Linked DNA regions of Danio rerio. The protein of the gene in region 1 binds, or shares a complex with, the protein of each later gene. Links are inferred from orthologs where the notes say so. Each region holds a gene or a part of one and is shown on either strand. Other genes may lie near its edges.

Evidence for each region.
Region 2: lrrc23 (region 1) and ropn1l share a complex: the UniProt entries of both Homo sapiens proteins name them as parts of the axonemal radial spoke complex. The link is inferred for Danio rerio from reciprocal best matches to the Homo sapiens genes LRRC23 and ROPN1L.

Annotation. Positions count from the first base shown.
Region 1 is NC_133198.1:23,038,176-23,042,330, reverse strand, and holds the start of lrrc23 (leucine-rich repeat-containing protein 23), read left to right. Parts: upstream 1-1,353; 5' UTR 1,354-1,669; coding exon 1,670-1,768; intron 1,769-4,155. UniProt on the Homo sapiens protein: Essential for sperm motility and male fertility. Plays an important role in the proper assembly of the third radial spoke (RS3) head and the bridge structure between RS2 and RS3 in the sperm flagella.
Region 2 is NC_133199.1:25,901,207-25,905,381, forward strand, and holds the start of ropn1l (ropporin-1-like protein), read left to right. Parts: upstream 1-1,369; 5' UTR 1,370-1,522; intron 1,523-1,742; 5' UTR 1,743-1,782; coding exon 1,783-1,913; intron 1,914-2,031; coding exon 2,032-2,155; intron 2,156-2,223; coding exon 2,224-2,385; intron 2,386-4,175. UniProt on the Homo sapiens protein: Functions as part of axonemal radial spoke complexes that play an important part in the motility of sperm and cilia. Important for male fertility.

The DNA of each region.
Region 1 (4,155 bases):
TAAAGACAGAGAGGGTTGGTAAGGGTCACCACAGACACTCAGGGATGGTGAGGTACACCAAAGACACAGAGGGTTGGAAAGGGTCACCAAAGACACTGTGGCTTGGTGAGGGCCACTACAGACACTGAGGGCTGGTGAGGGTCACCAAGAACAGACAGGGTTGGTGAGGGTCAGCAAAGACATTGCTGGTTGGTAAGGGTCACCAAAGACAGAGAGGGTTGGTGAGGGTTTCCAAAGACACTGGGGAATGGTGAGGGTCATCAAAGATGTTGTGGGTTAGTGAGGGTCACCAAAGACATTGCGGGCTGGTGAGGGTCACCAAAGACACTGAGGGATGGTTAGGGTCACTAAAGACGTTGGGGGTTGTTGAGGGATACCAATGACACTGTGGGTTGGTGAGGGTCACTGAAGACACAGAGGGTTGGTCAGGGGGACCAAGAACAGAGTTGGTGAGGGTCACCAAAGACACTGGGGAATGGTGAGGGTCATCAAAGATGTTGTGGGTTAGTGAGGGTCACCAAAGACATTGCGGGTTGGTGAGGGTCACCAAAGACACAGCACAACCCTCTGAGGGGCCACCAGAAGACAATGGGATTGGTGAGGGTGACCTAAGGGTGAGTGCTGCTGAGGATCACTGCAAGGTGCTTGATGTGACATACAGCTGAGTTTTTTATAAAGACAAAGACAAGGCAGATGCTGATTCTAACTGAAATAAAGATATCATCTTCAGACATCTTTAGTGTCTCCATTTTTGAGTCTGCATTAGTCTTTAGTTTTTAGCTCAAGCTTAAAGTTAACATTTATTGCAATTACAACCAATTGTTTTACAAAACAGTTAACATAAAACAACTTTATGACATAACCTTTATAAACCCAATAAGCATCTTACTGCCTTTACATTTTGTGAACCAAATATTACTTTTTGATATTTGGATGATTTTTTTCTACCCTTCATTAAAGATCTCGACTTTCCAATGGCATTGATGCACTGTAAACAACATGAGGCTATTAGTCTGTTTTTCAAATTACACACTAGCTCACTTTCCTTTGTCTTAATCCCTGCTTTATCAGGGGTCGCCATAGTGTTATGAACTGCCATTACTCTGGAAACACTCATGCATTCGTGTCACTCTATACCTAAATTGCAACTATTACCTCAAATATAGTGAGTAACAACTCAGTTATCACTCAGTTATCCACAGAAACTCAGTGTGGTTAAATGTGAATAACCCTAGACATGCACAATAATTACCGGGAGGGTATGTGTTCGGCTCACAACTTTTTTTTTGTCATGGCCACGCGATGTGAAATTGCACTCTCGAGATCCTATGATGAGGGAACGGTAGTCTCTCTGGGACATGTGGTGTTACTATGGTAACAGCCATAAACACTCATCAGCGCGAGGTGAGTGACAGAAAACTTGTTCGGACATCGGGATCATATAATCCATTTGTAATTTTTGAGTTATTAATGTTACAGGAAATGATCATAAATTGTTTAACGTTACAAGTAAAATAGTTATTTTCAGTGCATCCTGTCTGTTAAGTTACTAACAAGCAAGCTAAAGTTAGCCAGCATGCTAATGATGTAAATTGATCGATCTAAATTCCCAATCATTTATTTCAACCCGTGAAAAGTTGATCGACAAGGTAGTTAAGATAGAAGAATAATGTCAGACTCTGGTGAAGATGAGGTATTGAAAGCAGACTCTGATCATGAGGGAGAGAATGAGGATCTGGAAGAGAAAGAGAAATCAGATGGAGATCAGGTATAAAATGTGTTTTCTTTGGTCTTATTTTAGTCAGTGGTGGTAAGAGTACAAAAAAATTGTACTCAATTACAAGTACTGTTACATTGCTGAAATTGTACTCAATTACAAGTAAAAGTACTGGTGTTAAAAAGTACTCAAGTAAAAGTACAAATTACTCTTCGTAAAAACTACTCAAATTACAAAATTACAAATTACTTTTTTAGCTTGGCGATATTGGTGGAATTATCCATAAATGCGGAGTCAGACAAGATTCAGGCAGTAAAACACATTTTACATAACACATTTAAAGATACTATAAACACTTTTAAAACTGTGTAAACAGCATTAATTATAGATTATAATTATAGAGCACCTATAGAGGAAACCCACGCCAACATGGGGAGAACATGCAAACTCCACACAGAAACACCAACTCACTCAGCCAGGGCTTGAACCAACAAACTTTTTGCTTTGAGGCGATAGCAATACCCACTGCGCACCATGATTATTTTACAAAAACAATGTTTTGCTATTTTGAGTATAAAGATAACAGAAATATGCACAAATGCACGACTTTTAATCATTTCAAATGATGCCTTTCTATCTGTACGATCAATAGATGATTTAATAAATTAAAAAAACACTTGCAAATTATGGAGAAACTTTGTTAATTACCTAATTCGCGAACTGAACCGTCAGAAACCACAGAACAACACTGCCTAGTGCCTAAACATATTATTAATAAATTAAATATCACACAAATTAAGTTGTCTTCTTACCATAATGTTTTTTTTTCAGATTATAGACTGAAGTCTTGTAAAAAAAAAGGGTTTCTGCAGATATCATAATGTCAAATGTAAGACTTTTTAAGACTACGTCATATTTTTAATATTGTTCAAGATTTTAAAAATAATTATTTTTCATTATTTTATAATTTATTATGATTACAAAGTTGGGTAACGGGTGGGGCAGTGGGTAGCACTCTCGACTCAAGGCAAAAAGGTCGCTGGTTCAAGCCTTGGCAGGGTCAGTTGGCATTTCTGTGTGGAGTTTGCATGTTCTCCCCGTGTTGCGTGGGTTTGCTCAAGATGCTCCGGTTTTCCCCACAGTCTAAACACATGCATTTTAGGTGAATTACCTAAGCTAAATTGTCTGCTGTTGTAAATGAGAATGGGTTGCAGCTGGAAGGGCACAATTGCTGGATAAATTGGCGGTTCATTCCGCTGTGGCGACCCCAGATTAATAAAGGAACTAAGCCAAAAAGAAAATTAATGATTATAAAGTTTTATAACTATTCAAGATTTTTTAAATCAAAGTTTGATGCATCACTCACTTTTGTTTATATCTCGGACAGTTCTACCTATTAAAGTTAAATATCAATGACAACAGAACATGGGTTACTCTACAATTATTTTTTTTATTCTGGCAAGAATAACAGCAAAAAAACAAAAAACATTTTTTGCCCACTCAACAATTGACACATTATTGTCTGGCTAGTTTCTGTCCTCTACTAATGAGCTGAAAAGGCAATAATGGTCAAACAATCCTGTCCATCATCACCAATAAAGCCTAGAAATTGGGCATCAGTTTACTGTAAGTCGATGGGTTCATATTGTCCAGTTATTAAATACCTTATTTGTTACTTAATTTTTGTTACATTGCTTTAACTTCAAAATGATACATCAGTGTAAAACCTATAAATGGTGGAAAAACATATTCTGTAATCTTAAAACCACCTGGGTCTCCACTTTTGCCATGGCCTCTTTTTTGTTGTAACAAACTTATCCCCCAGGTTTTTCCAAACTTTAACAAAACACTTCCTTTCCATGGCTGTTGCAATTTCTAGCCAAGAATTATTGGTCATCTGGTTATCTCTATGCTGATCACGCATGGTCGGATAGTTAAGATGTCTGTACAGTCGTACTGTTACAGACAAAATCTCTTCAAAGCGATTCAAATTCAACTCAAATCAAGCGCGGCGCCGCGCGAACTGTTCACCGGAAATCATGTCGCGCGCATCCAAAGTGAACCTCACTTTGGACGTCACATTCGCCGCTCGCACTGAGCTATTGCATGCTGGTATTATTTGTAGTTTTAATACTGCAAATCACAATAGGACTAGTGAAATAAAGAACTACACCACCACGAAACCAAGCAACAACAAAAAAATTATTTAAATGAGAAGTAAGAGTAGCGTCTCACGCCTTCAAACGCCAGCGCGCGTTCACTGCGTGCAGGATTGCCTTCTGATGCGCAAGTCACTTAGTAAATGAAGATAATTTATTCATGCAGCTGCTCCTACTGATGCAAATTCTGTTTTTACTTTTGATATTTGTCGCCAGTTAATCAGAAGGTGGCAATTTTGTTCTCTTTGACTTGATGGACAGAAAAGCTGCTTTATTTGC
Region 2 (4,175 bases), on another chromosome or scaffold:
ATTTTGTGCGTAAATAAATATTCCATAGGGGTTCTAATAATTCAGGGGGGCTAATAATTCTGACTTCAACTCTATGCACAGTATAAATATGATCCATTCTTCAACTACGGGCACTTTTAGCCTTGTGAAGTTGAGTAAAAAAAAAACCTGTTCAAAATTAACGTAATAGCCTCAAAAGTTTAAACAATTTGTCTAGTTTTAAGATCTGTAAGAGTACAAAATTGGATAAGAAGAGAAACATTTTTCTCATCGTGAACTGAAAATGTCATTTCCACCACATCTTAGTATACAGCTTTTATTTCAAAATTTAATAAACTTTTCCACAATATGTATACAATGGGGTATATGCCAAAGCATGCAAATAGGACTTTTAATTTGCCAGTAACCTGGGTTAAGCGCTTCCGGCGAATTGAATGCCAATGCAAAATCCGTGCGTTTAAGGTATGTTTTCTTTAAAGATGAGCGATCTCCACTAGCTGAGTGATGTCCGATTTAAAGTGGGTCTCAGATTGTACAAGAAGCACTGCATTAAATTACATTTCCCCTGCCATGTCTTTATAATATGAGCATTTATTTTACCCCAGTATATTCAATGGAGCTTCTGTGTTAGCCTGCCGATTCTGACAGGCGCGTGCGAGTAAACAGCTTTTTGTCTCGTTTTACGCTTGAGCAACCAAATAAATGCTAACGTTTATTTAACTGAATGTATTTTAATGACATTACAACATCGATGCTGTATAAGGAACCGTATAAAATGGAAAAAAGTTCACAATAACAGGTCACCAGAAGTGTATCAGCATGGATACAGCACTAGCTCGGCTTATACCCTATTATACATTTGTTAATAAAATAAATTAGTTGTATGCTGAATTTTTCACCTGTCACCCTCTACAATTTAATATTATTTTGGTTAAGAGCTTATGAGAAAATAAAATAAACTGAATTTGTATAATAAATAAAGCATGAACTTATACATTGTGAATACACTTTTAATGTGTGAAGAGAGCTTTTTAAAAAAAATTAAAAATGAGAGTGGTGATGGAAATGACAGTGGTGGAAATGGCATTTCAACAGTTTATTGTGAAAAAATGAAAAATATCTTCACCGATTAGGTTTGAATTGATTCTAGCCTTTCATGTATACAAAACACTCTTATTTATCTTCATTTTGCTTGGTTTTTAAAAACAACTTTAAAGGGATCTCCACAGGATACGCAATGCTACAATAAATACGCAACCTTTTATAAGCGGAAACCTACATATATTCGGAGGACATGGCAACAACAGCTGTAGTTAACGCCCTTTATTTGACATTGACCAATCAGATCACAAAGAGCTCTTTCGGCGTCTAGGTGACGCTTCCAAACAACACGTTGCTATGAAAAACAGAACAAGTCGCTGCTGCATTTTAGGATGCCAAAAAACTATATATAATACTATTAATAGTATATTTTCTATAAAGTACTAACTATTATATTAATAAAACGACATAATCGCATCTCTTTATTTAAAATAACATAACGGTAAGTCTGGATAATAGATAGAGTTAACTTTAGCACGTACGTTTTTGTATAACGTTAATGTACTGTATGTAACGTATTTTCTTTAATCATGTTTTAGTGTTATGTGACATGAAATATGCTGATATGGCCTTTCCCGTTTTGCATGTATTGAATTCATGCTATTTCACTTTTTATATATATTGTAACATATATTGTATTAATATACTTTTTGTGTGTGCAGTTTCTCTTTCTTATCCTAAAACACAGCTCAAAGTGAAGTGATGCCTCTTTCAGAAACCATGTACTGCGCTCAGCAGATCAACATCCCTCCAGCTCTGCCCAATATGTTAAAGCAGTTCACTAAAGCAGCAATAAGGACACAGCCTCGTGATGTGCTGCAGTGGGCAGCTGAGTAAGCCAAACATTTTGTACTGTGTATTATGCATCCAAATTGCCATTATATGTAATATATGCTTTAAAACTGAATATAAACATGATAAATGACAAGAATTAAACTGTTTCTCCATCAGCTATTTTTCAGCATTATCCAAAGGTCAGGACCTGCCAGTCAAGAAGAGGCTGGAATTGCCAGTGGCGACTCAAAAGACAGACACAGGACTTACACCAGGCCTTCTGAAGATCCTTCATCAACAGGTGTGATCCACAGCACCGTCTTTCTATTTCATATCTGTGAATACTGATGAGATTTGTCTTGCCTGCAGCTTACATCTAAAGAAACAGTTACAAAAGATGAGCTTCTTCCCAAGTGGAAAGCCCTACACTTGCCTGTGGAACAGCTTGACACTATCCTCGCACTTGGAAACTTCAGCGAAAACATTAACTGGATGCAGTTTTTTGCTTTGGCATGCAGCGCTTTGGGTGGGGTAAGTACCTATAAAAAGCGTGCAAATTATACATTGACAATTGGGGGATGTATAATTGTCAATTTATATAAAATGTATAATCAACTTTTTTTGGTACCAGTTTGGTAATGCATGCTTCAGTCAATCAATTAATGTATTTAAATTACATCTCATTTATAAATGTATACGTTTTTAGTGTTTTTGGAACCTATTTTGGAAGTTACTATACAAATTATGTCTATTTTTTATTTATTTAGGCTACATGCAGATAAAAACACCTATTTTACAAGAAGCATTTTGTGAATACTTAAGATGTGCTTTGGTGCACTAGTACTGCCAGTTTTAGACTGTTAAATCATATTTTTTCTTTCTAATAGCATGAACCATTTAAGAATTAAACTAGAGATTAGAGAGAGCTATTTCTTACTAAGGGCTGAGGGCTGAACCCCCATACATCTTGTTTTGATGTCCTTCAAGGGGGGATCAAGTATTAATTTGGGGGTTCAATCCCCCTCATACAAATTAGGGATTATATTCAGTATTTTATTGTATTTTGTATTATTAAAATCTAGTGATAAAGTATAAAGAATTAAAATGACAGTTACTGAGAAATAACTATACATTGTAATGTTTTAATAAGAGTTTTTAATAAACCACATGTTTGTTTTTTGTACCGAAGTAACACAGTAAATAGACTATGTTATACTAAATGAGATTCAGTGGGTTCATTCTGTAAATCATGTATTATAGTTAGGGCTATGATTAAAACCTAGTGTTAAAGTATAAAAAATTAAAATGACAATTAATGAGCATTATAAGGATCAGATTGTAATTTTTTAAATAATTTATAAAATGACGATTAAATTTCTGTACCTGGATACTGTTATGGTTCCAGAAAACCATGAAGTACTGTTTATTTCACTTTAATCTTTGCGCTGTTGTATTTATGCTTGTAATTTATTATGATTTATGCAAATGCACTGCATATAAAAAATAAACTTGATCATTCCAATTTATCTAAATGAATGAATTCTTTTTAAATAGAGCTATTCAATTCATCTGGTGGTATATCGCAATATTTTAAGCAGAAAAAAAATATTGCAATGTCTGATTTTTCCAGTATCATGCAGTCCTAATTACACTCTCAGAAATAAAGGTACAGGAGCTGTCACTGAGACAGTACCTTTTCAAAAGATACATATTTGTACCCAAAGAGTGCACAGTGGCCAAATAAGTGGCCAAATGTTGCTAAAATGTACCTCTGGTGTACCATTATGAACCCTTCAGGTACAAATGTGTACCTTTTGAAAAGGTACTGCCCCAGTGACAGCTCCTGTACCTTTATTTCTGAGGGTGTATAGTCATTATTTTTTTCTCTCTCTCAAAAAATACAAATAAAAATAATATAATAAAAATAAAACTGTAAACATTCTAAAGTACACAAAGTTATAAATAAATATGAATACATTTGAAAAATAACAATGTTTTACACTTTAAGGAAAATGTTTCTTTGGTCCAAGAACTTTGTTTTCAATTCAATTCTATTAATTGACTCTAGATGGCAGTGTTGGATTTTTAAATGGCTTTAACTTTCACAGAGTTGAACGAGAAATATTGAGTGCAGTGATGGTCATAATTTAAAGTGTGCAAAGAAATGTCAAAAAGCCCACTATATTCAATTAAAATACAACTAAAATTAAAGTTAAATCACACTGAACTGAACGAAACTAAAAGTCAACTGGACTGGATTGGACTAAAACGGACTGACACATTACTAATTTACTAGAACTTCTATGTTAAACTCCTTTGAC